5 linked regions of the Macaca mulatta genome follow. The protein of the gene in region 1 purifies or fractionates together with the protein of each later gene. This does not show direct contact. Links are inferred from orthologs where the notes say so. Each region holds a gene or a part of one and is shown in the gene's direction. Other genes may lie near its edges.

Region 1 (6,169 bases):
CCTGCTTTGGCCTCCCAAAGTGCTGGGATTACAGAACACTTACACTTTTATACACTCTATGTGCATCAAACAAACATGTATGTGGCAAGACAGCAGCCTGTCACAGCCCTGAGACTTCAGAATGGGGACAGGTTGGAAGGAAGAGCTACCTATCCCTGAGATGATGAAGAGAACCGGTGCCCATTCCAGGAGACATCACCACAGCCCTGAGGAGTCAGCTATGGGCACCAGCAGGGCACAGTGCCACACTGCGCCAATGCCTTGTCCTCCTTTTCCATAGTGAGTCAGTCAGCAAGTGTCCCCTGACAGTGCCACCGCATTGCCCTGGGATCGGCATTGCATGTAGAAGTGAGTTCCACACTCTCTTCCTCCCATACGGAGATCGCCTTTCTCATTCTAAGGGTTCCAGGCAAACTCACAATGGTGACATTTGCTGAGCAGTGGCTTGAATAAAGGGCTCTCAGAAAGCAAGATGTAACTCAGAGCATAGGCTTGTCCTCCAGGGCACCCAGCCCCAGGAATGCTCTTGGGGAATGACCTGCAGCCTCCCAGTGAAAGAAAGAATAAAAGAAAGCCCCAGCAGGCGAGCTGGGCAGTAGAGAGTCCTGTAATTCCACCTTGGCAGCACCATTTGCAAGAACGAACCGGGATAAGGTAAACAAAATATTGCCTAAAAGAGGCTTGTCCGAAGAAGTCAGAAGAAGCTCTTCATTGGCCTCTAAATTATTTTTCTTAAATACCAGGTAACCTGCAGTACCCCTTGCCCCCACCAAAAAGAAAGAAAGAAAGAAATGCATTTTTTTTCCTCCTATCCACTGCAGAATCGATTTTACAGTGGTTCTGTAGTTAATCCTTTCAGTACACCATAAATCTAAATACTCAAAAAAACTGTGCTTTTTCAATTGCTACTAAATCACAAGAAGACTGATTTACATAGCCGCCTTTTATCTCCCTTGGCTGGTGAGTACTCAGCTCTGCTCGTTACTAATATTGAAACAACAGCCCTTGAATTGAGTGATTTCCCTAGAAAGGTTAAGATGACCGAATCTGAACACTCCCTCCGTGCCTGGGACACGAAGTTTTTTGCTCCGTGGACAGTTTTATCCCCCCTCACCCCAAGGTCAATTGCACGAATTCTTCTGGAAAACAGGACCTGTGACATTTCCCAGACAAATCACCGTGAACCCTGCACTGTGCATTGGCTGTCCTAAAATTAACACACAAATCTATTGCCGCCAAACATTCTGTCATTTGTGTTATATAATTGCCTTTCATTTGAACTCATTAATCAAATTGGGGTTTTTAAGCAACACCTAATTAATTATTTCATTGGCTCAAATTATACCTTTAATAACTTCCACCAGGGTGAAAACCACTGATCACTGAGTTCGATTTTGAAACTACGGACGTTGAGTTTCCTCTTTCACCCAGAATTTTCAGATCTTGTTTAAAAAGTTGGGTGTGGTTTCACGCGGGGAGGGGGAAGAGCGAGAGGAGACCGGAGGGACGGGGGCGGGGACTCTGCAAGAAAAACCTTCCCCGTGCAATCGTGATCCAGGAGGCCCACGTATGGCGCCTCTTCAAAGGCTGAAGAAGTTTCTTACTAACAAAAAGTCCACACATCGAGCAAAGTCAGGCTTTAGCGAGTTATAAGAACTTAGAGGCGCTCTTGTCCCCCAAAGGGCCCCACCGCACACATCAAAGCGATGGCCCAGCTCTAAGTTGGTAGGACTGGGAACCAGCAGCACGCGCGGAGCCGCGGAGACTCGAGTCAATCTGGTCTAACGGTTTCCCCTAAACCGCTTAGCAGCCCTCAATCGGCGGGACAGCAGGGCGCGGTGAGTCACCACCGGTGACTCAGCGACCCCACCCCTCTCCCTCGGGCTTTCCTCTGCCACCGCCGCCTGTCAACTCCCGCCGTCCGAAGCTGGACTGAGTCCGTTAGGTCCCTCGATAGAGCCTCCCCTCCCCCCAACATCTCCCAGCCAAGGCAAGTCGACAGAGGCGCGGGCCGGAGCAGCCCCCCTTTCCAAGCGGGCGGTGAGCGAGGCTGCGCGGGGCCCTGAGCCCTACGTTCCTGAGCTGTGCGCGCCCCCATCCCGCGTTCCAATCTCAGGCGCTCTTTGTTTCTTTCTCAGCGACTTCAGATCTGCCGGATCCCTTACTCTTCCCTCTTCCCGCTCCTTTGCTCGCGGGTCTCCCCACCTGACCGCAGCCCCGAGGCAGCCGCGCGCTTCCTCCCACGCCCCTCTGGCGCGGTGCCACCGGACCCCTCTGGTTCAGTCCCGGGCGGATCCCCCCTCACCGCGCGACCCCGCCTTTTTCAGCACCCCAGGGTGAGCCCAGCTCAGACTATCATCCGGAAAGCCCCAAAAGTCCCAGCCCAGCGCTGAAGTAACGGGACCATGCCCAGTCCCAGGCCCTGGAGGAGAAAGGCTCGAGGGCGCCCCCACCCCACCCGCCCACCCTCCCCGCTTCTCGCCAGGTCCCTATTGGCTGGCGCGCTCCGCGGCTGGGATGGCAGTGGGAGGGGACCCTCCTTCCTAATGCGGTTATAAAAACAGCGCCTTCGGCGGGGTCCAGTCCTCTGCCACTCTCGCTCCGAGGTCCCCGCGCCAGAGACTCAGCCGCGCTCCCACCACCCACACCCACCGCGCCCTCGTCCGCCTCTTCTCTAGGAGCCAGTCCGCGCCACCGCCGCAGCCCAGCCCATCGCCACCCTCCGCAGCCATGACCACCAGGTCCGTGTCCTCGTCCTCCTACCGCAGGATGTTCGGCGGCCCGGGCACCGCGAGCCGGCCGAGCTCCAGCCGGAGCTACGTGACTACGTCCACCCGCACCTACAGCCTGGGCAGCGCGCTGCGCCCCAGCACCAGCCGCAGCCTCTACGCCTCGTCCCCGGGCGGCGTGTATGCCACGCGCTCCTCTGCGGTGCGCCTGCGGAGCAGCGTGCCCGGGGTGCGGCTCCTCCAGGACTCGGTGGACTTCTCGCTGGCCGACGCCATCAACACCGAGTTCAAGAATACCCGCACCAACGAGAAGGTGGAGCTGCAGGAGCTGAATGACCGCTTCGCCAACTACATCGACAAGGTGCGCTTCCTGGAGCAGCAGAATAAGATCCTGCTGGCCGAGCTCGAGCAGCTCAAGGGCCAGGGCAAGTCGCGCCTGGGGGACCTCTACGAGGAGGAGATGCGGGAGCTGCGCCGGCAGGTGGACCAGCTAACCAACGACAAAGCCCGCGTCGAGGTGGAGCGCGACAACCTGACCGAGGACATCATGCGCCTCCGGGAGAAGTAAGGCTGCGCCCATTGCAAGTCGCTGGGCCTCGGGAGGGGGCTGGAGGGAGAGGGGAACGCCCCCCGCCCCCGCCAGGGCTGCCACGCCCTTGGGGATGAGGCCCGGGGGAGGCCTGCCGGGGGGACTGCGGAGAGCAGCGGCTGTGGCTGTGGCGGCGCAGCCCCGCCCAGAACCCAGACCTTGCAGTTCGCATTTCCCCCTCTGTCCCCACACATTGCCCAAGGACGCTCCGTTTCAAGTTACAGATTTCTTAAAACTACCACTTTGTGTGCAGTTGAAGGCCCTTGGGCACAATGAGAGCGAGTCCTCCAAACTTTTATAAAGTTTCCTGCCCCTTCTGGCGGGCGGCCAATCGCCCGGCGGGCGAAGGAAGGAGGGGAAGGCGGTGGAGGGAGCGAGACAAAGGAATGGTCTCTCGGGGGTGGGTATGGCGGCGCTGTCCTGCAGGTCTGTGCGGCGACCGTGATTGCCCCTCTGCGCGGTGCCCAAGGTCCCACTGAAACCTGCCGAGGGCCACAGGCCTGAAAGCTGCAAGCGCTAGTTGCGCCGAGGTGGCGCAGCGGCTCTGGAGGCGCAGCGCGGCTACGTGGTGGTTGGGTGTGGCCGCCCCGCCCCTGGCGGTTTCCCAGTTCCCCTTTGGTTAATGCGCAACTGTTTCAGATTGCAGGAGGAGATGCTTCAGAGAGAGGAAGCCGAGAACACCCTGCAATCTTTCAGACAGGTTTGTAGGCTCTCTTCCCACTCGCAGCTACCTGACCCCACCCAACACAACCCACGAGCAATTCTAAAAGTTGCTTAACCCACGTCTAAAAAGTGCAAAACTTCAGGGCTGCGCGTAAAGCCCTCTAGTGGCGGGAAGACCACAGATTGGAGCTTCTCATTATTAGAAAAAATATTAATAAAACCGCTTGGACGATTTTTTGGGGGGACGGAGTCTCACTCTGTCGCCCAGGCTGGAGTGCAGTGGCGAGATCTTGGCTAGCAGCAACCTCTGCCTCCCGGGTTCAAGCGATCCTTGAATGATTTCTAAGCCGTTCCTTGGGACATAAAGAAAAATCTTTTAACTTTTTACTTTGTTTGCAAAATGTTGCACAGTTTTGCAACACATTGACCTTCTGGTTTCGAACGGTCACAATTTTAGATTGTGGTTTGCCAAAGTCAAGTCGCTTAATTTTTACAAGGTCACAAAAAGCGCAGTTATGCCCTACAGTTTAAAATGGAAAACGTGTTGGAAGATAAGAAAACTTAGTTTCCAACTGGAATGGAGCCAGCAAGTTTCTTTTCTTCTTTGCAACTTCTATTGTGGCATTAAAGTTCGATGGAAGTATCACTATGCACAACTATTTTGTGATCTAATAAGGGTGAAAAGGAGCCATCTGTCCCCTCGGCTGAGGGGTATTAATGGTTTCTATGGGCTTCACTATGGAATGTAGATACAGACATTCTGGCAAATGTGGTGGCTGTGGACAGAAATAATAGGAGTCTTTGTGTTCCCGGGGAAGCTTTGCAGCAGGCTACATTCTTATTGAATATGTAGTGATGTAAGCACGGTTCTAATTGGACACAAGTATTTGCTAACATCCGTTATCTAATATCTGGCCCAGACTTGAGAAGTATGTAATGTAAAAAGTTTTTAAAGCTACAAACATACCTCACATTTTGAAAGTCCTTTCTTGATTGGATTCTTGTATTCTTTAGCACTCTCGCCATAAAAAATAATAATAATAGTAATAAATCTAAGGCTGAAAAATTCAATTTTAACTAAAGGGTTTTTGTGCGTTTTTTTTTTTTTTTTTTCCCACCAAAATTGGATGGACTTACAGAATTTTTGACTTAAAATTGGAATCCAGAAGCCAGAAGATCCCCATTATAGTCTATAGTTTTATTCCCTGGAATATTTACTGGGATTAACTACAAAGCACTCTCAGATGAATAGTGTAGTACAACATTTTGAAACTGAAATACATTTACCAAATTAATTTAACCACAGCAATGTGTGGTTCATTTTAGTCCTTGAGCATTTTTGATTATCATACCTGTAATGTTTTCTGCAGAGTAGTGAGTTAACGTAAAACAACATCAATACAAAAGATCCTCTGTTTTGAGATTAAGCAAAATTCCTCATTCTCTTTAAGCAAAATTCCTCATTCTCTTCAATGTAATAGTAATACCACATTGATCTTTCTTTGGAGATTAGTAAAATATCTTTTATGTATTTCTTAGGGCTTAGCAAGTAAAAATGAATGTTTTCATCAAGTCTGATCTTTTTATCACCCACTCTTCATTCATTTTTCCACTAAGGTGATAGAAAAGTCTCAACAGTTTAAGACCATAAGGCTATAAACTGAACTCCAAATATAATTGCTGACAAGATAAACAATCCTCACGCATCCTTTTGAGAGGAAATAAAATCTTAGTTGCAAGATTACATGTTCTGAATTGGAATGTTGAGCTTTACAAATGGAAACATAGAAGGACAGCTGAATCAGCAAAAATCCTTCATGTAGTTTCATTCTCTGCAAGTTTGACCAGTCATTCTGAAACAGGCCAACTGAACGGATACAGTGGCAAGCGAAAAAGACACGCCTTTGTAGGATGAGTCAAAGGAGTTTTAGAAGAAAAATCCATCAGAGAAAGCAGAGAAAATACAGTTCAGAGTTACATTTCTTTTCCAATTTTTCCTGAACTGAATCTTTGGCAGCATATCCTGAATTGGGTTATTATTGAATATAAATCTAGCCTTGTACAATGGATGCCACATGATTGCATATTTGCTTTGGAGCCTAAGGATAAGTTTCAAAAGATTTGAGTGGGGAAAAAAAGCTAAAACTCTTGAAGCACAAGTTTCTGTTCTCCATGTACTCAAGTGTAC
Region 2 (6,076 bases), on another chromosome or scaffold:
CTGTAATCCCAGCTACTCGAGAGGCTGAGGCAGGAGAATCACCTGAACCTGGGAGGTGAAGTTTGCAGTGAGACAAGATCACATCACTGCACTTCAGCCTGGGCAACGGAGCAAAACTCCCTCTTAAAAATAAAAATAGGCCGGGCGCGGTGGCTCAAGCCTGTAATCCCAGCACTTTGGGAGGCCGAGACAGGTAGATCACGAGGTCAGGATATCAAGACCATCCTGGCTAACACGGTGGAACCCCGTCTCTACTAAAAAAATAAAAAAATAAAAAATAAAAATAAAAGAAAGAGAGGAAGAGATTCCAAGCCAGCTCTGCTGGCCACAGCTCTAGGGAGACCTCAACCCAAACCAAACAGCAGGATTTATGAAGTTATGCAAGGTTGAAGGAGCCTGGGCATCCCAGATCCTCAGCCTCCTGGCCTGCACTGACTCTTAGTCAATCTCCTGTCACTAACCCCTCCCTGGCCTCCATTCTACATATTGGTGGTGAATTCCAAAGCCCCACTGGCCTGGGGACAGCGATGGGGGCCTTAAGAGACTCCTCAAGGGGAGGGGGTATTGATGGGATGACTTCCTGGTTATTGACCTGGCTGTACCCTCTACCCAGAAAAACCCCTCCATCCTTTGTGCTGCCCGGCTCTGTCCCCAGCACCTTGGAGGCTGATCAAGTATTCTAGTCATCTTATTATGTTTACCTCCACCACCAGACTATGAGTGCCCATCACTGTTGACCTCACATCACCAAACTATAAGCATTTCCAGGGCTGGGACAGAGTCCCAGCAATCTCTTTGGTGCTGACACATAGTAGGTGCTCAATTAACACTTGAGCTAAATTGGATTTAGCAGCTTGATCAGAAATGCCTTCCCGGAAGATCCCCTCTGTCTCATTATCCCTGCATCTCCTCCCCAGCCCTGCTTCTCCTTCACTGTAAATCCCCCAAATTCCACTTGTCCTTTACCTCCCAGCTCAAGGATGCGCCCCGTCCAGAGAGCCTTCCTTACTACTCTCACCCTTGGTGAGCTCTCTACTTCATAAACTGTAGAATCCTTTTTTTTTTTTTTTTTTTTTTTTTTTTTTTTTTTTGAGACGGAGTCTGGCTCTGTCGCCCGGGCTGGAGTGCAGTGGCCGGATCTCAGCTCACTGCAAGCTCCGCCCCCCGGGTTCCCGCCATTCTCCTGACTCAGCCTCCCGAGTAGCTGGGACTACAGGCGCCGCCACCACGCCCGGCTAGTTTTTTGTATTTTTTTTTAGTAGAGACGGGGTTTCACCGTGTTCGCCAGGATGGTCTCGATCTCCTAACCTCGTGATCCGCCCGTCTCGGCCTCCCAAAGTGCTGGGATTACAGGCTTGAGCCACCGCGCCCGGCCTAACTGTAGAATCCTTAAAAGGCTGTTTTGAAGATTAAGTCAGGTCATGGAAGTAAAATGTTAGAACACGACTGGGCACATCATAAAGGCTGGATAAACTTGGGCTAGTGGTTAGGAAGGAAAGAGTGGCCTCTTCCTGCTGCTTCCACTTCTGAAAGCCGCCAGAGGGCGTCCACCACCCAGAATTCTCTGGCAGGGGGTGCGGGAGAAGGGGCCCCTCCCCAAGAACAGAACTTTCTAAAGTGGATGTTTGAACATCGCAGTTATAGGGAAGAGTTGTAGAAAGGATGGAGAGACAAACGTTCTTAAGCCCATGACGGCCCTTCACCTGGTCGCTCCCTTTTCTGATGGAGACTCGGGCAATAGCGTGTGTGTGTGTGTGTGTGTGTGTGTGTGTGTGTGTGTGTCCCAATATCAGACATTTGTTCTTGTTTTCCAGGCAGTGTCTCCAGCTTCTTTCTGTAATGCTGTAGTACTCTCTCCAGTATTTCAGGAGGATGAGCATTTGTTATTTTAAAAAAAACCAAAAAACAAAAAAAAAACCTGGCCACATTCATTTCTTTCAGCAGCCATGCGATTTCCATCACTGCTCCCATTTTATGGATGAAGAAACTGAGTTAGAGGAATTCAGTAAGTGATACCTCTCTCGGATGTGTCGAGTAACTGAGACTGCACTCCCTCCAGGCTGGAACGTCCTGGCACCCCCACTCCCACAGGCTCGGTTCTGTGCATTATTTGCCTTTTTTGCGGATTGTGACCCTTCTTCACGGCCTCCTCCCTCAGAAAGCCACCACCCTCAGATCCGATTCTCCATGGTAGGGCTTCTTCTTTGGTTCCACTCTCCAGCACCCTGGGGAAGCAGGGACAGAGGCTGCTGCCACTCTCTGACCTCTAAGGGGTTAAGACCTGGGTCCCGCCCCTCTTCCCGCCCGCCTGGCGGGAGTATGAATAGCCTCGCTCCCACTCCCGACTCTCAGTCGCTCAGGCTACTCCCACCCCGCCCCGCCCCGTCATTGTCCCCGTCGGTCTCTTTTCTCTTCGGTCCTAAAAGCTCTGTGAGCCGCTCCCTTTTCCTGGTGCCCAGCGTCTGTCCATCCTCAGTGGGTCAGACGAGCAGGATGGAGGGCTGCATGGGGGAGGAGTCTTTTCAGATGTGGGAGCTCAATCGGCGCCTGGAGGCCTACCTGGGCCGGGTCAAGGCGCTGGAGGAGCAGAATGAGCTGCTCAGCGCCGAGCTCGGGGGGCTCCGGGCACAATCCGGGGACACCTCCTGGCGGGCGCGAGCCGACGATGAGCTGGCGGCCCTGCGGGCCCTCGTTGATCAGCGCTGGCGGGAGAAGCACGCGGCCGAGGTGGCGCGCGACAACCTGGCTGAAGAGCTGGAGGGCGTGGTGGGCCGATGCCAGCAGCTGCGGCTGGCCCGGGAGCGGACGGCGGAGGAGGTAGCCCGCAACCGGCGCGCCGTCGAGGCGGAGAAATGCGCCCGGGCCTGGCTGAGCAGACAGGCGGCAGAGCTGGAGCGCGAGCTAGAGGCTCTACGCCTGGCGCACGAGGAAGAGCGCATCGGCCTGAACGCACAGGCTGCCTGTGCCCCCCGCTGCCCCGCGCCGCCCCGCGGGCCTCCCGCGCCGGCCCCGGAGGTGGAGGAGCTGGCAAGGCGACTGGGCGAGGCGTGGCGCGGGGCAGTGCGCGGCTATCAGGAGCGCGTGGCGCACATGGAGACGTCGCTGGGCCAGGCCCGCGAGCGGCTGGGCCGGGCGGTGCAGGGTGCCCGCGAGGGCCGCCTGGAGTTGCAGCAGCTCCAGGCTGAGCGCGGAGGCCTCCAGGAGCGCAGGGCAGCGTTGGAACAGAGGTTGGAGGGCCGCTGGCAGGAGCGGCTGCGGGCTACTGAAAAGTTCCAGGTGAGGAGGTTGAGGGCCTGGGTGAGAGAAAGTTCCAGAAAGCTCCAGAAAGTCCCTTATGAAGCTCAGAGACCTTCTGGGAAGGGAGTGGGGCTAGCTGGCTGTTGAATCAGGAGCCAGTTCTCAGAAACCTGGTGCCACAAGTCCTAGACTTTTACAGCCCCGTCTAGTGTAGGGTGCGAATGGTGGGGCTTCTCAAAACACATCCCTGGGTGGGCAGTCAGGCCCAAGACTCATTGCAGCAGCACCCCCCCCCCCCCACTCTCTGGGTGGCACCGTCTGGCTCTGATGATGACCGGGGCTCCGGGCCCCTCCCCAGGCTCTGCTATTACTGGGAAGATGCCCAGCACTATCGCCTCTGCGCTGAGTCTGGTGGCCTGGTCACTCAGAATCTCCAAGTTCCTCACAGCCCTCCTTCCCCTGAGGGGAGGAGTGAGGGGCCCTGAATGAATGGTTACCAGCCCCCTCCCATGTCATGGCTTCTCGGCTCCCTGGAGCACATTCCAGAGGCCCATAACAGCTGCTCCTTCTCACAGGGCACAGATGTGACCAGCAGCTGCGAAAACAGCTTCTTGCCTGAGCCACACAGAGGTGCCATGGCCACCTCCCCATCCCTCCTCTCAGAGGAGAGAGAATCCAGAACATGTGGGAAATTGGGTGGGGCGGGGGTGGGAGCCTGCTGTGAGGAGCAGGAGACAGCTATGGGAGATGGGACCAATGGGGGACTGGGGCTGTTTGCCTTCCAGTCCTGCAGGCTCCAGGCCTCTTGATTAATCGTTTTTCCTTCTGCTTCCACTTTTTTTTTCCCTCTTCTCCTCTCCATAACCCATCACCTCCCCTTCCTGTGGGGGCTGTGTTCTGAGCAACATGTGCTACCATTTAATCAGCATCCTCAGAGGAGGAGCAGTGGGAGAGGGCTGAGAGGGCTGACAGGGGCCCTGGGCTTATCTTGGCTGATCCAGAGGGGGCTCTCTGGGCAGGGAGTAGGGTGGGGGAGACGGGGGTCTGCTGCACAGAGAAGTCAGCCAGGGAGCAGGAGGTGCTTCCCAGGCAGCAGCAGCGGGCAGGACACAGGTTGGTTCGCAGAAGGGACCCCAGCCCCTCCGCTGACTGCCTCTTGCCTGCCCTGCAGCTGGCTGTGGAGGCCCTGGAGCAGGAGAAACAGGGCCTACAGAGCCAGATCGCTCAGGTCCTGGAAGGTCGGCAGCAGCTGGCGCATCTCAAGATGTCCCTCAGCCTGGAGGTGGCCACGTACAGGTACGAGATGAGCCCTGTCTACCCAGGCACACAGAGGTGCACACACATGCTGGGGCAGACTGTGTGGCTGAAGGGGACCAGAGGTGTAGGTGATGGTAACTCTGCTGCCACTGGGTTCTGTAACTCTAGGCTAGTGACTTCCACACCGAAACATGTCCTGCCTGAAACCATCTGCTCTCCCGTAGGTTGGAGACCTGAAAAATGTCCTGTGCCCAGGAAATTCCCCCAGGAGAGATGATATTGCTGAGTGGGACAGCCTCTGGAGAGGGGCTGGACCCGTGCGGGGCAACTGTATCCAGACCCTCCCCCCAAGGGGCAAAGCTCCAACTCTATGCGTGCCCACACCCCGGGGGCCATGTCCTTTGGCAACCACGGAAAGGAGGCATTGCAGGCATGGGGTGGCTGCACTGACTTGCCACCTGACCTGGGCCTCAGCCTTGTCTAGGGGCTGAGAGCTGGGCTGGGGGACTTCCAAGGCCTCTTCTAGCCTGGATGTCATGGGGCCTGACTCCTCTGATGCCCCCTAGTGCCCTTGGTCCTGCCCAACCTTTCATCGTCCACATTTTCTGTTTTCCTAGAAATGGCTGAGACCAAGGAGGGGCGGCTTCTCACTTGCTATGTGGCCTTGGGCAAAGCCCGCAGTCTCTTCTGGGAAATTGGCCCTGTTGGCTGAGGGGCCATTGATGGACCCTGAGGAAGGGGCTCTGTGGCTGGTGAAGGGCCATATGAGGTCAGGAAAGGAGGGGAGGCAAGGCCCAGAGATGGAAGGTCAGTGAGGCTCTGGGGAGGATGTGGAAGAGAGGGGCTCCACCACCAGGGAAGAGAAGCCCAGAAGGAAGGCCACAGCATTGGGAAGGACAGAGGTGAGGCTACAGCAAGTGCTAACCAGTCTCAGAGATCATGGAGCAAAGCAGAGAGGAGTAGCTGCTCAGCCTAAGTTGTTGAGTTGATTGGTCCCTGCTCCCCTCATTGGTTCAAGGGGCACTGAGGCAGGGGCCTGGACACAAAGACCTCCGTGCACCGAAGAGCTTGGGATCCAGAGTGCTTAGAGATCCTAAGATGAGGGCCCTGACCCCAAGTGAAACCACCGAGGGGAAGGGTCTGGTGGGCCCCGAGGAATTTAACTGCTGGTTTTTGAGGCATGAAAAGGATTTGGAGAGGGGGAGCTGAATTCATTTGCTTTTGTCTGTCGCTAGCTCTGGGGGCCACCAGGGAAGGAGGAGGGAGCCCATCCCATGGGAACGGCCTGAGAATTCCCACTTCCCCAGAATCCTCTCCTTCTCAGACCCTCCAGATGGTGACTTGGACAATGGCAGCAATTAGCATGAGAATCGGTCCCCCACACAGAGGATGAGGTCATCGGCCTGGGGTGGGAGGAGGAGGCTAGCCTAAGCCTTGTGTGCGTGTGTGTAGGGCAGTGTCCGACTGTGTGGGAATCTGCTTCTATGTCTGAGCTCTGCTGTGTATCCCAATACGGTGTGACTCTGTGTGACCAAGTGTGTGACGTCTGTGGGTATGTGACTATGTGATTTCACCCTGAGTG
Region 3 (6,102 bases), on another chromosome or scaffold:
ATTTCACATATAAGTAAAAGTCTTTCAGTAGTTAAGACAATTGGTGGGGAGTTAAAGATTGAAAAACTACTTAAGAGGAAAAAAATATACAACGTTGACAGATTGCAACGAGTTTTTTCCTTAGAACCAGCCTGTTAATATTCTTTGAGCTATTTGGTAATCATGAGCTCATCTTCCCATATAAAAATATCAGGCTGGGTGAAGTGGCTGACGCCTGTAATACCACCACTTTGGGAGGCAGGGGAGTCCTTTGAGGCCAGGAATTCAAGACAAGCCTGGGCAACTTAACGTGACCCCCACCTCTAAAAAAAAAATTAAATTAGCCAAGTATGGTGGCTCAATCCTGCACTGCTAGCCACCTGGGAGGCTGAGGCAGGAGGATCGTCTGTGCGCAGGAATCAGAGGCTGCAGTGATCCCGCCACTGTATGCGGCCTGGATGATACAGCCAAACCCTGTCTCTAAAAGAGAAAAATCACTAAATAGATAATGTTCACAATAGCACCTCTTAGGAGTCGCAATGGTCTGCATAGTTGCTATTTATCCCTGTTTAGTGCAATTTGTATGTCATCTTTGCAGTTATCCACTAGTAGTAACTTTTTAAAAAGTCATCTTAGGGAAGACTTCCTTCTCACTTTTTCTCTCTTCGGGGCTCCTTCAATACGTAAAGTGCTAATTACTATTATATAGTAAATATCAAAACGAACTTTCGTATTTATTCGTCTGTATCCCTAAATAGTACTTATACTGTTTCCTAGCACCAGGCACAATGCCTTGGCAATTAACTCCTTGCACGTAGCGAAGTACTCTACAGTTAAAGACAAGAATACATCCTGGAAACACGCCAGGACTTAAAACATTATTTTTCTCAGAAGTGTTTGGAGTGACAACACTGCCAAGTAACGGAGGTATAAAAAGTGATTCTCAAGATAATCCTACGCAGCTAGAAACGCTGTAAGGTAAAGACAATCATTTTTACAGTTATCATTTTTATTCTAACTTACTAAATAATTTTGTAACTTTTAACTTACTAGTGTTATATTATAATAACACAATGTAAAGGGATAGTGCGTAAAAGAACCGCTATATACCAATGAGACCTGAGCAGGGCACACGAGACTGAAAGAAAAAACCACCCCACGCAAAAGCTAAGTCTTGCAGTTCTCACTCCTCGCGTCTCCAGTGTCGACGTATCCGTTTTTTTATTTCGCCCAAGATACACCCCTGGCAACCTCAGGGTGCGAGGAACCCGGTCTGCCTCCGGCTCGCCGCAGCTCCTGTACTACCCAGGGCTCGCGATCCTCCATGACCCATCGAAGTCGCCTCCCTTTCCCGGGCAAAGAAGGGGCTGCGACCCCGCCTCGCCCGCCGGCCGGAGCCAGCTCCCGCCCGGCTCCCCCTGGGGCCGTGCTTCTCCCCGCCCCCAACGGTCCTCAGGCCTGGGTCTCACCTCTCCACCCACTCTCTCAGGAAGCGCATTTCCTCGGTGTGCAGAACGCTCGGGTCCTGCTTACACATTTTCACAAAGGCCCGAAGCTCGTTCACTTTGCGGGGGTCCATGGTAGAGAGGTGGTGGGCGAAGCTGGGGGGACTACGGCCCTGTTCCAGGCCCAGGCGCTGGCTCGGCGTGACCGCGCAGAAGGGGGCGGCTGCCGCGAGGCAGAACAGACCAGAACCTCCCCGGCCGCTGGCTCCTCCCACCCAACGGTCTCGTGACCCCGGGTCCTCCGCCTGCTCATTCCTACTCTCTCTGCGCTGCTCCTGCGCGCTCCCTAGAACCTTCTAGAAGCGTGGCTGTTCGTGCTGTTGCCTGCCTCCCTGCGCATGCATTCTCATATTCTTAACTAGGAACCAGCTCCCTGGATGGGCCAACCCCAGAAATGGGCGCCTGCAAGGAGGCGGTAGATAGCATCCCCTCCAGGGAGCAACGTCCAAGAACACATCGTGTGGCTGCGCGCACCGAGTAGAACTCAACACCCCGACCTAAACAAGGGTGTGGAACCGGAGAGGCGGTCCCACCTCGGGGCATGACGTCACACCCTGCGCCGCCGCGCAAGGAAGGCCCGGGAGCGACGCCTGCCGGAAGCGGGGGGGGGGGGCTGGCCTGGTTTCCTGGCGACGCGGCGCTGCAGGCGGTTACCCTCTTTCTCTTCCCGACGCGTGAGTTAGGCCGTCATGCCTTGGCTGCTCTCAGCCCCCAAGCTGGTTCCCGCTGTAGCAAACATCCGCAGTTTCTCAGGTTAGACTCTCCTCCCACGGTCTCCTCCCATGGTGTCCCCTGGAGGGACCCAAGTTGGTCTCAGGCGATCCCTGTTTCGGCCGACCTTTCTCCTGGTGGGGCCTCCGCTCCCCAACCCTCTGTGCTCTCCGCGGATTTCTTCTATACCGGCTGCTCCTGGAAGGGGGTGGTCCCAGTGTGTTCTCTACCGTTCAGGTATTCTGTGAAGCCGAAACGACTGCAGAGAAAAAAGTGTGCCATTCCCCAGAGGGGCTGTCTTCCAAGTTACTCGGACTCCGAAGTTGTGGCAGTTATCACAAATAAGTGATATAAGTGACAAAGTGTCTCACATCAAGTAGCTCTTGTTTCTGTTAGGCATGAGAGCTTGCTCCAGAATATACACGAAGCGTGTCTTAGTAACACAAATTATTTAAGCAGCTCTTCTTAGGAAAGGTAACTGTTTGGAAATACTCCTGGGGCATTCTGTGTCTGAAAGTCCTGTTTGCAAAGACAAGACGAAGGATTAAGGAGAATAATTTTTTGTAGGGTGTCCTCTATTGCGAGCAATTAATCTGATGAACATAAAGCTTAATCAGTGAAAACTGAATCACCTTCCTTGCAGGCGGATCTGCCATTGGATTGTATTTCAGTTTTTTGGGCCAATATATAAACAACGTGTGGTATTTGACATCAAAGCTATGTCTTGGCATATGTTTATGTTGATATACTTGAATTCATTTAAAATGGAATGTTAATTACATCGACTTCTTACTATAAAAAATAAAAAGTTATTGTCCAGTGCACAGAACTTGTTCTTCAGTTCTCATAGTAAAGCTACAGAAAGACGTAAGTTTCCGTGGGATTAGGTGAAAAGAAAGATGTGCAATTGTTCAGTCTTTTTTTGAGACAGGCCCTCATTCTGTCGCTCAGACTGGAGTGCAGTGGCAATCTCTACTCATTTGCATCCTCTTGCCTCCTGGGGTCAAGCAATTCTCGTACCTCAGCCTCCGGAGGTAACTGGGATTATAGGCACGTGCCACCACGCCTGGCTAATTTTCGTAATTGTAGTAGAGACCAGGTTTTGCCATGTTGGCCAAGTGGATCTCGAACTCCTGGCCTCAAGCGATCCACCCTCCTCTCTGAGCCACCGCGCCCGGCCTGGAATTTGCTTTTATTTGAAAGGCTGTCACCAACATGACTAAAAGCCGTACTACCAGAAGGAACGCTTGTAAAGACACAGAACTCTGAAAAGGAATGGCCAACACTAAGCATTGCAATCATGTAGTATGGCTGGATTTTTTTTTTTTTTTTTTTGAGATGGAGTCTTGCTCTGTCGCCCAGGCTGGAGTGCAGTGGCCGGATCTCAGCTCACTGCAAGTTCCGCCTCCCGGGTTTACGCCATTCTCCTGCCTCAGCCTCCCAAGTAGCTGGCACTACAGGTGCCCCCCACCTCGCCCGGCTAGTTTTTTTGGTGTTTTTTTGTTTTTTTTTTTTTAAGTAGAGACGGGGTTTCACTGTGTTAGCCAGGATGGTCTCGATCTCCTGACCTCGTGATCCGCCCGTCTCGGCCTCCCAAAGTGCTGGGATTACAGGCTTGAGCCACAGCGCCCGGCCTTTTTTTTTTTTTTTTTTAAAAAAAAAAGACAGAGTCTGACTCTAGCCCAGGCCCGAGTGCAATGGCGCGATCTCTTGGCTCACTGCAACCTCTACCTCCGGAGTTCAAGCGATTCTCCTGCCTCAGCCTCCCGAGTAGCTGGGATTACAGGTGCCCGCCACCATGCCTGGCTAATTTATGTATTTTTAGTAGAGACAGGGTTTCACCATGTTGGCCAGACTAGTCTTAAACTCCTGACCTCGGATTATCCGCCAGCCTCGGCCTCCCAAAGTGCTAGGATTACAGGCGTGAGCCACTGCACCCGGCTTAGGAAAAGCTTTTTTGAAATATGTTCTTAGACAAAATAGTAGGCATTACACGAAAATGATTCTGTGATCAAATACTTTTGGGGAATGCTGCATTTCATAATGTACATAATAGTTTAAATCTTTTTTTGGAGATGGGGTCTCGCCATGTTGACCAGGGTAAACTTGAACTCCTAGGATCAAGTGATCCTCCCACCTCAGCCTCTCAGAGTGTTGAGATTTTAAGCGTGAGCCACTGCACCCAGCCCTTAATAGTCTAGGTTTCTAAGAGATGTGTTCAGCAGTAATTTGCAAAATGTGTAAAAATGTATTTGACCATGGACCCCTTTTCTGTGATGAGTCTTGAACTGGTATCCCTGGAACAGATTTTGGAAACAGTTGAGCTAGAGCGTAAGATGGGCGCAAGGAGCTGATAGGAAATCAAGTTGGGAAAAAGCTGGTGGCTGGCTCATGGAGGGCCTTGTATATTATGTTAAGAAACAATTAGCTTTTTCATTTAGATGGTGGGAAAACTTTGAGGAATTTTAAGCTATTGAGTAAGATGATTAAATCTAAATTTTTGGTTTTCTGTTAAGAGTGAAGAAATGGACTACAGGGCATGTCATTACATTCTTAAATTTTCTGAGACACTGATTTTTGCTTTAGTTTTTGGAAAATTGCAATTTTTTTCAACTTTACTACCATATAAATGATAACAGATAAACTTTACTAAATATCACATCTTATATAAGAAGCATTTAAAATACTCTGGGCTTTTATTATTTTATTTTCTGAAAATAAACTTTTTATATGAATTGTCCCCAGTCTCTTCTGTAGAATAAATAACCTTTCCTTCTCCCATCTGCCCACTAAAAATCAAATAGCGATACAAAACACAAGCTCTTGACTATAACTGTCTTTTAAAAATAGCAGATATTATCATTTTTTTCCAATTTTGTATTTGTATTTGGCCAAAGGTGAATAAGTTTTAGTGCTGCTAGACGTAACTCAAACGATTTGCTCGATATCTGGTGTATTTGTAACCCATCTGTTTTTCTCCCAACATGACTAAATTAAAATGGCTATACGTGGTATTTCAATGTAACGTATTTGTAGATTTTGTGTACAAACTCTAAACAAAAATAGAAAGTTTCCTATCTGGAGTGATTCAGTGATGGCCTACCATACAGACTGCTCTGAGTTCAGGGTAAGACTGGCCTTAAAAAAAGAGTGGTAAAATATACTACATAAAATTTACAATGTTACCCATTTTTAAATTTTTTTAATTTTTTATTGTTTTTCTTTAGAGACAGGGTCACACTCTGTCAGCTGGAGTGCAATGGCAATATCATAGCTCCCTACAATCTCAAACTCCTGGGCTCAAGCAATCCTCCCACCTCAGCCTCCTGAGTAGCTAGGACTACAGGCACGCACTACCACACCCAGCTAAAGTTTTTAAAAATTTTTTTCATAGAGGACAGGTCTCTTTATGTTACCCAGACTGTCGTGAAATTCTGACCTCAAGCAACCCTCCTTCCTGGGCCTCCCAAGATGCTGGGATTACAGGTGTGAGCCACTGCACCCAACTAAGTTTATTTTTAACTTAAAATATTTTATACTTTAATTTTTAATTTGTAGTACCTTTAAGTTATGCATCAAATGCTGTACCTCCATTGGAAAAAAATCATTTCATGAATAATTATATAGTCTGAACCTGTGTGTCTTAATACCTTCTTGTCTCCTAATGTTATGCATGTTTCAGAAATGTGTATAGTGGTTTTAATTAGAGAAAAGAAATAAAATAGGATATACACTCTACTAAAGAAAAATTCTGAAGTAAAAAACTCTTTGCAGTTTTCCAAATTCCTTTTTTTTTAAGACAGGGTCTCACTTTGTCGCCCAGGCTGGAGTGCAGTGGCGTGATCTCAGTACACTGCAACCTATGTCTCCCAGGCTCAAGCAGTCCTACCAGCTTCCCGAGTAGCTG
Region 4 (5,523 bases), on another chromosome or scaffold:
TTAAGCTCTGTGGCTCAGCACCCTCACATGAAACATGAGATTAATAATACTCCCATATCCATAGGATTGCAAGGAATGAACTAGTAAGCCACTTTCCCACAATTCCATGACTATACATTGACTAGACCTCTTCTCCCCCTTTAACTCTTACTCATCCTTTAAACCCGTTTCCCTTCTTCCTGGTTTCCCGACAGGTAACCCTCCTGTTTTCACAGCACCTGTTACTTCATACTATTGCTGTAGCAGTTTCACTTCTGAGTTGGGGAATGTATCCTTTCTGTCTTTGGCCTATGTAGAAAATTAAAATTGGGAATGCTGTCAATGCAAGTGCTGGGGCAACTGTAGACAGACATGTACTGGCCCTTGAGAAGTTAGTATGTAGGTTAGAAGGTGGCAAAAAACAAGGGACTGTTTGTCTAGGTGAAAGAAGTGGCAGGAACACAGGCAGAGATCTGAGTTGGTCAGGGTAGAGTAGTGCTATCACTGCAAGCCACAAATGTCATTTTAAATGTTCTGGTAGCTCTATTAAAAAAAAGAAACAGGTGAAATTAACTTCAATGCATTTTATTTAACCCAACACATATTTCAACATGTAATCAGTATCAAATATTGACGTATTTTACATTCTTTTTGTGTGCTGTCTTAGAAATCTGCTGTGTATTTTACACTTACATCACATCTCAATTGAGACTAGTCATATTTCAAATGAGTCATACGTGACTAGTGGCTTCGGTACTAGTAATCCAGGGCTAGAGGAAAATGTTCATATGGAAGAGTAACAGAGGTTCAAGTTGGAGGTAGGGGTCAAACTAGAGGGGGTCTGAATGCCACTAAATAAAGTGGAAAGCCTTTGAAGGACTGTGAGTTGACTGGAAAGTTAATCTAGTGGTTAACACAGGATTAAGAGACCATCCTTAATGCCACTGTAGCGATCCTTTCTTCGCTGCTGCACTCTGTCACAGCTTATCACTGGTGGTGCGGACTGCTTTTCCAAGCATGCACTTTTGTGCCTTAACAACAGGTCTGGTATGTAGTGAGGACTGAGAAATCAGGACAGCAGTATGCAGATGCTTCCCTCTTTAGACGACACACTCTTAGGCATGGCTGGGCACTAAAAAAGGTCCTTGGGCCGGGCGCGGTGGCTCAAGCCTGTAATCCCAGCACTTTGGGAGGCCGAGACGGGCGGATCACGAGGTCAGGAGATCGAGACCATCCTGGCTAACACGGTGAAACCCCGTCTGTACTAAAAAAAAATACAAAAAACTAGCCGGGCGAGGTGGTGGGCGTCTGTAGTCCCAGCTACCTGGGAGGCTGAGGCAGGAGAATGGCGTAAACCCGGCAGGCGGAGCTTGCAGTGAGCTGAGATCCGGCCACTGCACTCCAGCCTGGGCGACAGAGAGAGACTCTGTCTCAAAAAAAAAAAAAAAAAAAAAAAAAAAAAAAAAAGGTCCTTGGACAATGTTGGTGAAAGCTGAGATACAGCCAGAGTATCAAACAGTGCAGGCTGATGTGCCACAGGTATGATGTCAAGTATGACTCAGAGGACAAATTTTCTAGATCCTTTTCATAATAGCATTTACCCCAACTGGACTCCTTAGTATTCTTTAAAATGAGGTAAAGTTACTCTCCCTTTAAAAGATACCAACTTCACCCATTCCTCTCTTCCCGACTCCCTCCCGCCTCCTTAAGGATCCATGCCAGCTAGCAGGTCAACCAGAGACTGACTTGCTGACATCGTCCTTACCTTATTCCTCAGGTATATATCATAGGCAGGGACAATTTACAGAATGCATCCCAACCTGGTTTTGTAAGAATAAGAAAATTATCTGAGGGCTCCCAAGGGTCTCCTGTGCATAGCATCTTCATCTTCCAACTTAGAACAACTAAAGAAATTCAGTCTTTTTGTGTAATGAAAAAAGGATGAGCTGGACACAGTGGCTCACACCTGTGATCCCAGCACTTTGGGAGACCAAGGTGGGGGGATTACTTGAGCCCAGGAACAAGACCAGCCTGGGCAACATAGCGAGACCCTGTCTCTATAAAAAAAAAATAATTAAGAAGAAAAAAGGATGCAGGAAATTAGCAACTAGGATAGCCAACACCCTCACTAAAGCATCAATTTCCACATGATGTTAAGGTAAGTACCAAGTAGAAGTATCTCTGACTTTAAGGAGCTTTGGACACAAAAACTTTTCCTTAAACAAGCCATTTATTTTCTAAACATGGACTTCCACTAGTTGTGTAACTCTCCTAGAATTCTAGCCAATATTTAATAATTGTTGCCATACTTTAAGTAGTATATATATATATATATTTTTTTTTTGAGACGGAGTCTCGCTCTGTCGCCCAGGCTTGGAGTGCAGTGGCCGGATCTCAGCTCACTGCAAGCTCCGCCTCCCGGGTTCACGCCATTCTCCTGCCTCAGCCTCCCGAGTAGCTGGGACTACAGGCGCCCGCCACCTCGCCCGGCTAGTTTTTTGTATTTTTTTAGTAGAGACGGGGTTTCACCATGTTAGCCAGGATAGTCTCGATCTCCTGACCTCGTGATCCGCCCGTCTCTGCCTCCCAAAGTGCTGGGATTACAGGCTTGAGCCACCGCGCCCGGCCAAGTAGTATATTATTAAAAACTACCAGTTATCTTAAACTTGCACATGGAGGGAGAAGTATATGAAACTCTCAGTTCACTAACTAGACCAAAATCCTCCTCAATGACACTAAGGTTGTAATACTAAAAAGTCCCCATCACCCTCCCAGGAGTCTATTAAGCTGTGGTTAACAGACAAGATTCCTTTTAGGTCACCATTTTCACTTTTTTTTCAAAGACCAACCTCTCTGAACCTCTGTTTCGTAACCTATCATATAAATGCTGCTCAATACTGCTACGAAGATTAAACAATGAACAAAAAAGTGTTTTATTTAGAGTGGACAATGTCAGGTTTTTATTGTTTGGCTCATTAGAAATGTTCTTGGCCATCTCATGCAGGAACAGCTGGAGGAAATGGAAGAACGCCAAAGGCAGTTAAGAAGTGGGGTGCAAGTCCAGCAACAGAAGAACAAAGAGATGGAACAGCTAAGGCTCAGTCTTGCTGAAGAGCTCTCTACTTATAAGTCAGTTTCCGCTGCTACACAAATCTCATCTAACACTGGCTGAGGGGATGGTGGAAGGGCTTAGGGAAAATTTTAATTTAGAGTCAAAAACAAGGATTTGGGAAATGATTTTCAAATTGTGCTTATCCACAAACACATGGAAAATGGCTCTCTTCTTTTAAAGGGCTATGCTACCCAAGAGCCTGGAAGAGGCTGATGCTCCCACTTCTTAGGCAGGTGGAATGGAAACACAGTCTCAAGGTGATCTTTGTGGAGAGAAGAGTGGTGTTTGCATTGTTACTGCTTTCCTAACAGTACTAATTAATGTCTTAAAAACAACAGGCCGGGCGGAGTGGCTCATGCCTGTAATCCTAAGACTTTGGGAGGCCGAGGTGGGCAGATCATGAGGTCAGGAGTTCAAGACCAGCCTGGCCAAAATGGTGAAACCCCATCTCTACTAAAATATAAAACTTAGCTGGGCATAGTGGGCATAATCCCAGCTACTCAGGAGGCCAAGGCAGAATTGTTTGAACCGGGAGGCAGAGATTGCAGTGAGTCAAGATCACAATACTGCACTCCAGCCTGGACAACAGAGATTCTGTCTCAAAAAAACAAAACAAAACAAAAACCCCCCAAAAAAAACAACAACAAAAAAACCCTTAAGTGTGTGCCTAATGACAAGGGGATAACAAAAACCTCCAAAATGCCTGGGTCAGGCATTCAGAGTTCATTTGGAATGTTTCAGTTTCTAGTAGGACTCAAAATATGCCCTGATTATCACCACGAATTCTGTGGCATCTAGGCTTTGGGCATCTTGTTTCCTCACCCTACCCTACCCACCTGCTATTCTGTTTTCCTTACAATAGCAGGGAAGGCAGTTGTGCTATCAAAAATAATAAACATATCTATCCATTAATTTCCTTATTTAATATTCAAAGGCTGTGGTTTTGGGTAGAAGCAGAGATGTTCATATTACACAGACTTACCTTTTTTTTCCTTTTTTTTGAGACGGAGTCTTGCTCTATTGCCAGGCTGGATTCAGTGGTGTGACCTCTGCCTCCCGAGTTCAAGTGATTCCCCTACCTCAGCCTCCCAAGTAGCTGGGATTACAGGCATGCACCACCACGCCTGGCTAATTTTTTGTATTTTAGTAGAGACGGGGTTTCACCATGTTGGCCAAGATGGTCTCGATCTCCTGACCTCGTGATGCACTCACCTCAGCCTCCTAAAGTGCTAGATTATAGGTGTAAGCCACCGTGCCTGGCCCACACAGACTTACTTTTAGACACTGACAAAACTGAAGGCATCTTTCTGACCAATCACCTATTCAGGATCCCTCCCCAAATGTTTTACTAGTATATTCTCATAAAAGTTCTAGAGTCCCTTAAAGAAACTAAGGATAAAAGTCCGTGTCAAGTTGTATATTATACAGATGCCTATATATTTTATTTATTTCCTAAACTTACATCAAATTCACAAGTAACTTTTTTTTTTTTTTTTGAGACAGAGTCTCGCTCCACCCAAGCTGGATAGAGTGCAGCGGCTCGGTCTTGGTCTCGGTTCACTATAACCTCCGCCTCCTGAGTAGCTGGGACTAGAGGTGTGTGCCACCACGGCCGGCTAATTTTTGTATTTTTAGTAGAGACGGGGTTTCACCATCTTGGCCAGGCTGGTCTTGAACTCCTGACCCTGTGATCCACCAGCCTCAGCCTCTCAAAGTGCTGGGATGACAGGCATGAACCACTGTGCCTGGCCCACAAGTAACTATTGTTGCTTTTTCTAATTTTCTAGGATATTATTATTTTTTAAAATTTCTTTTTAGTAGAGATGGGGGGTCTTGCTATGTTGCCCAGGCTGGAGTAGTGGCACGATCTTGGCTCACTGCAACTCTGTCTCTTGGGTTCAAGCAATACTCCTGCCTCAGCCTGCTAAGCAGCTGGGATTACAGGCATGAGCCACCACACCCAGTCTTGAGGATTTTCTTAAACTGTGTTTGAATCCACATGACTGATAATATGCCTAATGTTTGTGAAATTATAACCTTGCAATTGAAGTCAATGATCTGCTAGCTATCTTTGTGTGGATCAGATTAAAAGTACAATCTGGAAAAGACAATGACTAATCCAAAGAAATGAAACTAAAGAATTTCAGGCATTGTAATTATACCTGTGGAAGTTAACGTACCAGAGAAAAACGTTTAAGTATCCCTCCCATCACCACCACATAGGTTACCATTCACTCTATTTCACAAACAGGAGGCATCCAAATATTTGCTAGGGGAAAGTCATCCCTGATCATCCATAAATCACACTGTAACAACCTCTCCTCAACAAAGCCTGCAGTAACTAAACCTCAGAAGTTCATTGTTACAAACTTTTTCTTTTTCTTTCAACCTTACAGGGGCTGTTTAGAAATATATGGCCAAATCTGTAACCC
Region 5 (6,401 bases), on another chromosome or scaffold:
AACATTTATTTATTTTATTTTTTATTTTTTTGAGACAGAGTCTTGCTCTGTCTCCCAGGCTGGAGTGGAATGTCGCGGTATCAGCTCACTGCAACCTCTGCCTCCCAGGCTTAAGCGATTCTCCTGCCCCAGCCTCCTGAGCAGCTGGGATTACAGGTGCCCGCCACCACGCCTGGCTAATTTTGTATTTTTAGGAGAGATGAGGTTTTTCTGTGTTGGCCAGGCTGGTCTTGAACTTCTGACCTTGTGATCTGCCCACCTTGGCCTCCCAAGAAACATTTATTAAGTGTCTGGTATTTAGGTGTTTTTCTTTTTTTTTTAATCCCTCCATCCATCCAACATTGAGTTAGCACTGTTACACACCAAGTACTGTGCTTGGCACCTGGAAATCATGCTGAGCCACGATAAACATAATATAGCAGGTGACATGGATAAATAAACCCATTACAATAAGTTTCTTGCTGGAGCAATGTTCAAAATACAGCAACTGCTTGGAGAAAGGAATGTCAGCTGCCCTGGGAGGTATTGCAGGACTCCCAGGGCAGCTGACATTCCTGGGCAGGTATCATGGAGAAGATAAATCCAAGCTGCTTGTCTTGTGTGTTTCTTACCTTTTTAAATATATTTTTTGGCCGGGTGTCGTGGCTCACACCTGTAATTCCGGCACTTTGGGAGGCCGAGACCGAGGCAAGCAGATCACAAGCTCAGGAGTTCAAGACCAGCCTGGCCAACATGGTAAAAGCCCATCTCTACTGAAAATACAAAAATTAGTCAGGCATGGTGGCACACGCCTGTAGTCCCAGCTACTTGGGAGGCTGAGGCAGGAGAATCACTTGAACCCGGGAGGCAGAGGTTGCAGTGAACAGAGATTGTGCCACTGCACTCCAGCCTGGGCAATAGAGCGAGACTCCATCTCAAAAAAAAAAAAAAGAAAAAGAAAATATTTTTCAACATCCACAAAAATATAGAAACAGTACAATGAATCTCCACATCCCCATTAAACATCCACAAAAATATAGAGACAGTACGACGAATCTCCACATCCCCATTACGTGGCTTTAACAATTAGTAACTTGTGGCCACTTTTGACTCATCTACACTCCCATCTGCTTCCCCATCCCTTTGTTGTGTTTTGAAGCAAATCCTAGACATCATTGCATCCGGGAGTACTGAGCTGCATTTACAGAAGGAAGTGGAAATGCATGTGTCTTCCACAGCCGTTCCCTTCCCACCTATTCTTCTGCTCTGAAAACAGTTAGATACCCAGATTCCTGCCAGTGACTCCAAAGCCTTGGCTGGTCTGGGTAAATACCCAAGACTTTATTGGAGCCTCTCAGTTGGTTGAAGGAAAAGACTGGGCTGCTTCAGTGAAAATCCTATCCTGTCTTGACTGGAATGCTGGCCACATTCTTCTGGTCCGAGGTCCTCATAAAATTGCTAATTTTTTAGAGGCTTATGGAGTACCTAACGTTTGCACAAAATGGTAGCTACATTCCACACTCCCATGTGCCCTGAGCAGCCTCCAGGGAAACTTCAGATACTGTGGGGCTTGGCCTGCCAGCTGAGCTGGCCCAGAGATCCTTTCTGTCACAGCTTTGATCTTCACTGGGTTGGGAGCCTGTCTGAATCTAAACATCTGCTTCTCTACTGCCCACCCCTTCAGCATTTCCTAGCTCTCCCTGAAAGGTACAAACATGCATGCAGTTACTCAACCAGAATATTTATCCTTGACTCCCTCTCCCTCATAATTTCTTTTAAAACAATCCACCCTTGTCCACCTCCTATCACCCTTTCATCCAGGTGCCCATTCCCTTCTCTTAAGTCCTGCAATACCTAAACATCGATCGCCTTTAGCACATTCATCCCCGCCTTATTCTCCACGCAGGAGCTGAGTGATCTGCACAAAACCCTCTGCTAAATACCCTTGCATGGTTCTTCACCCCTGCAGAAACTAACCTCCTTCCCACACCAAGGAGGCCCTACAAAACTTAAGGACTCCTTCGGACTTCTCCAGCTTCATCTGCCACGTCTCCTTCCTAGCCCGCAACCAAAACCATCTTTTCTGGGTCTGTTTTCTCGGGTCTTTGTGCTCTCACCTGGGCAGCTCCTTTTCTCTCATAAATAAAGCAAGCTACAGCGACTGCGCCCTTGCTTCCATGCGTCATCTCATGGGTCCACAACACCACTAAAAAGTCGTTTTCATTTTGCAGACGGAGAAACTGAGGATGGGCACCTTATCCATGGCCACACAGCTAGTAAGTGGAAGAGCTGCAACCAGGATTCAAACTCGCGGCCCCAGAGGCCGCAGGTTCAACCACAGAATCCTAGCCCGCCCGCACATCCCTCCACCGCCGCAGGGACCTACCTCATCCCTCTACACCTTCCGCTGCACCCAGGCGGAGCTGGTCACGCGGGCGGAGGAAGGAGGCTTCTGATTGGCTGCCTCCAGCGGCAGGGGAGAGAGGGCGGGGAGCGACGGTGCGGGGGCGTCGCGGAGAAATGACTTCATGACGCGGCTTCTTAAAGGCGCCGGCCCAGCGCGCCGCGGATGGCACAGGCGCGTTCCGGGGGCTCCAGCTTCTGTTCAGAGCGCGGAGAGCCGGGCCGGGCGGGCGCGCGCGCGGGACTCGGCGGCTCGAGTGGTCCGGCCGGGCGGTGTCGGGAGCCGGACCCGCTGGCAGAGGAGCGGGCGCCGCGATGGCTGAGGGCAGTGCCGTGTCTGACCCTCAGCACGCCGCGCGTCTGCTGCGAGCGCTCAGCTCTTTCCGTGAGGAGTCCCGCTTCTGCGACGCGCACCTGGTCCTCGACGGGGAGGAGATCCCGGTGCAGAAGAACATCCTGGCGGCGGCCAGTCCCTATATCAGGTGGGGAGGGGGCCGCGGCGGGCGGGCGGGTGCGGCGTTGCTGCCCGGAGCCGGAGGCGGGGCGGCCGGGCCGGGCGTGGCCCCCAGACCCTGTCTCCTGTCCCCGGCGCAGGGGTCCCCGCGTCACTGTTGGCGTGGCTTCCCTCCCGGCACGCGCCGGAACCCGGCCCCGCTGACCGCGTCCCCCGGGCGGCCTCTGTGCCTTCCGGGCCCGCGCTCCCCATGGGACCCCCGCGCCCCTCGGAGTTGTCCCCGGACCCAGGCCGCGATCCCCCGCCCTGTCCCTCCCGGTTCCCAATGCGCCAGCGGGCGCCCGGCCTCGGAGACCCGGAAGCCCCCAGATCCCGTCCTGGGCCGGCCGGGACCCGCACCTGCGAGCTGGGCGAGGCAGCCCTGGGGAAGAGTCGCCCCCTCGCCCTGGCCGGGCCCGCGGTCCCAGCTGAAGTTCGCCGGCCGGTCGCCTCCGAATTCACGCTCGGGGGCTGGGCCGGCGCCGCCAACCCGGCCGGGAGCGCCCTGCCCGCTGGGAGGCCGGACCGACAGCGCCTCGCGGGGTGCTGGCAGAGAAAACCCTCTCGAAGTTCTCCTTGGGTTGGTAGTCAGATCCCCCGGGCGAAATTCTTCTCCTTGCCAAACGTGTCTTTTCCGCTCCTTTCTGGTAACTGTTTAAAAGAAGAGTTACACGTTGAAGTAAACTGTGGCGAATTCTCAGGATGCTGTTACAACCCGAGGACCGTGAGAGCCTTGCGACTAAGGGCATTTTAATACTTTAGTAAAGCAAAACTTAACCTGATTTGCCAATTCAACTAACCAGGTTAATTAAAAGGTTGATAAGACAGTGCTTATACAAGTATATCAGATCTTGCAGAAGGCTATCTTTTCTTTTAGCAACCTTCTTGCAAACTAGGTTGCTGTTTTAATAAAAGGGAAGGGGGGAATGCTAAAAACTGGAGAAACTGCCCAGTAAGCTGGTTAAATATAGGCTAATGGTAGAGAATATCACTACAATTGACAGGTCAGAAAAAGCAAAATGATGTGTATTCTTAGCGCTTTGTCCCAGCAAAACCACCACAAACGCTGCACTTTAACCTTTGAACTGGGGAGACATTTGTGCTAACTTAGAAGCAGTTCAAGCGCTCTTGTAACTTCTGGTTTCTCCTGGATTTGTTTTATAAATCCATTTGCGCTCTTTGGCGGTGAGGGGTGTGGAGTGGTGGGGGGGCGGGAGTGGGGGCCGAGGTATCATCGTTAGTACAGAATTGGGATTGCTAATGTGACAGACAGCTTCTAGCTGGCAGTTCAGAGGTTTGAGCAACCAATCTCAAATTGGAATCAGCAGGCCATCTTCCCTGTTTGGGAAAATGCTGAAGAAAACTACTTTAGATGCGTTATTGTTACAGTTCTTTAAATGGCATCCGTTTGGCTTAAAAGAAGTACATTGCAAATCGCCTTGTCCTTGCTTGCTATCCTTGTTCATTTTTCTCCGTAGCACTTACCACTATGATGTACCCCGTATTTTACACATTTACGTTGATGGTCTTTCCCAACCACAGTGTGAGCTCTATGAGGTCGTGGTGTTTTGTTTTGTTTTTTGAAACGGCGTTTCATTCTTTCGCCCAGGCTGGAGTGCGGTGGTGTGATCTCGGCTCACTGCAACCTCCGCCTTCCAGTTTCAAGCGATTCTCCTGCCTCAGCCTCCCAAGTAGCTGGGATTATAAACACCCACTACCACGCCCGGATAATTTTTGTATTTTTAGTAGAGACGGGGTTTTACCATGTTGGCCAGTCTGGTCTCGAACTCCTGACCTCGTGATCTGCCCTCCTCGGCCTTCCAAAGTGCTGGGATTACAGGCGTGAGCCATGGCACCCGGCGGTGTTTTCTTTTATCCACTGCTTTACTCTTTGCACCCAGAAAGAACAGTGCCTATCAGTTAATGTATTGAATGAATGACTGCCTTTCTTTCTACCACAGCAAATTCGGACATTAGCAAATTGACTCCATTACATTTTCATAGTAGATAGACACTGAGTTATACCTAATTGAGAAACGCACTGGGTTCAGAGTTTGAAGACCAGCTTTGTGCTTCCAGCTTTTACTCATGTTAGCTGTGAGTTGCTGGTAGATGACAAGGCTTCAGCTCACTAATCTGATGAGTGAGGGATAAAAATGAGTCTTCTCATTTAATCACTGACCCACCTGTGAAGAAATATGTAATAGTGTTTTGACACATCATAGGTCTGTTCCCAGGTTTTCAAAGGTAGTACCCATTGAATTAGGAAGTATCTCTAGTCCAGTTCTTTCACTTTCTAAATAAGAAAATAGGGGCTCAGTGGACTTTAGTGACTTGTGTTATGAGGTTATTAGTACTTAATGGTTGAACTAGGATTAGACTCCGAATTAATTGCACCTAGCCTTCTAACTACTCTTACCCTACCAAGTTAGAGCATCACTTGTATTTCACTGTTCTCTCTGTGTAAACTCTGTTAGCTGGCTTACAGTATCTTATAATTAAAATGCTTATCAAGCACTTTTATATACTGTCTCATTTTGGTTTCCATTTTCAACCATCTTTAAAGGCAAGGCAGATTTTTTTTTTACATTTTGTAGGTAAACATGAATCAGTCAATACGTGTTTCATCAGTGACAGATTAATTGCTTAAAGTTTATTTGGCTTTTGAAGTGATAGAATGTCTTGAGATTTTTAAAAAATTATCAATTTCAAAGCTGTTTCATAGTAATTTGATGAATCTGTATTACTGACTAGAAATAAATTTGTTAATTTTTTATTTTTACTGGTAATTTTAATACCAGTAATATTAGGCTTTTATAATGTATTTGTTTTGTTTGAATAGCCCTTTAGAGAATTATATTGAAACAAAATGTATATATGTATTCTAGAACTTGATGTTTCTTATCTTTCCCTTTTGAAACTTAAGCATTTAGATCTGTGATGTCATTAATCTGTGAATTGGATGTTCAAAAGTTCGGTGATCTCTGAAGTTTTATGAAATTCTGATTTTGTTTAATGTCTGTGTTTGGCCTAGTGTTGGTAACTGACATAAGTGCTGGTGTGATTCTATGGTTTAGAAGCAATGTTATGACCTGGCATGGTAGCTCACACCTGTAATCCTAGCATTATGAGAGGTGGAGGTGGGAGGATCATTTGAGGCCAGGAGTTCCAGACTAGCCTGGGCAACATAGACCCAGTGTGTACAGTAATAAATCATATACATAAAAAAATAGGAGCAGTATTATCTGTTGCTTAATATGTGCCCAACGAAGGGAGCCAGTCCAACTCTGTCACACTGGGAATTAAAGTAACTTTGTTTGGCATACTATCTACTTAATATGGAAAAGTCTTTTGACTTACTGGTTTAATCTTTTACTCTACTTTATCTTTGATCTAGCTTTTGTTTTTCCTGCTGACTCCCTCAACAATCATACCATATTAGAAAGATTTTAAATATAAAAGGAAAAAGCCAGAAAACTCAACTTTGGCAGTACACCCTCATGATCAGCTCACAGAGGACTGGCAT

The links.
Region 2: the proteins of VIM (region 1) and NES purify together in Homo sapiens (affinity purification with mass spectrometry; 3 studies listed by BioGRID and IntAct, counting the BioPlex papers as one, with this or other methods). This does not show direct contact. The link is inferred for Macaca mulatta from reciprocal best matches to the Homo sapiens genes VIM and NES.
Region 3: the proteins of VIM (region 1) and XPNPEP3 purify together in Homo sapiens (affinity purification with mass spectrometry; 3 studies listed by BioGRID and IntAct, with this or other methods). This does not show direct contact. The link is inferred for Macaca mulatta from reciprocal best matches to the Homo sapiens genes VIM and XPNPEP3.
Region 4: the proteins of VIM (region 1) and SYNC purify together in Homo sapiens (affinity purification with mass spectrometry; 3 studies listed by BioGRID and IntAct, counting the BioPlex papers as one, with this or other methods). This does not show direct contact. The link is inferred for Macaca mulatta from reciprocal best matches to the Homo sapiens genes VIM and SYNC.
Region 5: the proteins of VIM (region 1) and GAN purify together in Homo sapiens (affinity purification with mass spectrometry; 3 studies listed by BioGRID and IntAct, counting the BioPlex papers as one, with this or other methods). This does not show direct contact. The link is inferred for Macaca mulatta from reciprocal best matches to the Homo sapiens genes VIM and GAN.

What each region holds. Positions count from the first base shown.
Region 1 is NC_133414.1:18,785,824-18,791,992, forward strand, and holds the start of VIM (vimentin), read left to right. Parts: upstream 1-2,585; 5' UTR 2,586-2,730; coding exon 2,731-3,293; intron 3,294-3,957; coding exon 3,958-4,018; intron 4,019-6,169. UniProt on the Homo sapiens protein: Vimentins are class-III intermediate filaments found in various non-epithelial cells, especially mesenchymal cells. Vimentin is attached to the nucleus, endoplasmic reticulum, and mitochondria, either laterally or terminally.
Region 2 is NC_133406.1:110,246,860-110,252,935, forward strand, and holds the start of NES (nestin), read left to right. Parts: upstream 1-2,350; 5' UTR 2,351-2,493; coding exon 2,494-3,276; intron 3,277-4,408; coding exon 4,409-4,533; intron 4,534-6,076. UniProt on the Homo sapiens protein: Required for brain and eye development.
Region 3 is NC_133415.1:10,674,880-10,680,981, reverse strand, and holds the start of XPNPEP3 (xaa-Pro aminopeptidase 3), read left to right. Parts: upstream 1-2,102; 5' UTR 2,103-2,173; coding exon 2,174-2,237; intron 2,238-2,432; exon of another isoform or gene 2,433-3,062; intron 3,063-5,998; exon of another isoform or gene 5,999-6,102. Other genes in the region: ST13 (hsc70-interacting protein), read right to left, coding at 1,449-1,558. UniProt on the Homo sapiens protein: Catalyzes the removal of a penultimate prolyl residue from the N-termini of peptides, such as Leu-Pro-Ala. Also shows low activity towards peptides with Ala or Ser at the P1 position.
Region 4 is NC_133406.1:208,180,810-208,186,332, forward strand, and holds part of SYNC (syncoilin), read left to right. Parts: intron 1-2,983; coding exon 2,984-3,108; intron 3,109-3,271; coding exon of another isoform or gene 3,272-3,320; exon of another isoform or gene 3,321-3,348; intron 3,349-5,487; coding exon 5,488-5,523.
Region 5 is NC_133425.1:76,690,640-76,697,040, forward strand, and holds the start of GAN (gigaxonin), read left to right. Parts: upstream 1-2,550; 5' UTR 2,551-2,697; coding exon 2,698-2,864; intron 2,865-6,401. UniProt on the Homo sapiens protein: Probable cytoskeletal component that directly or indirectly plays an important role in neurofilament architecture.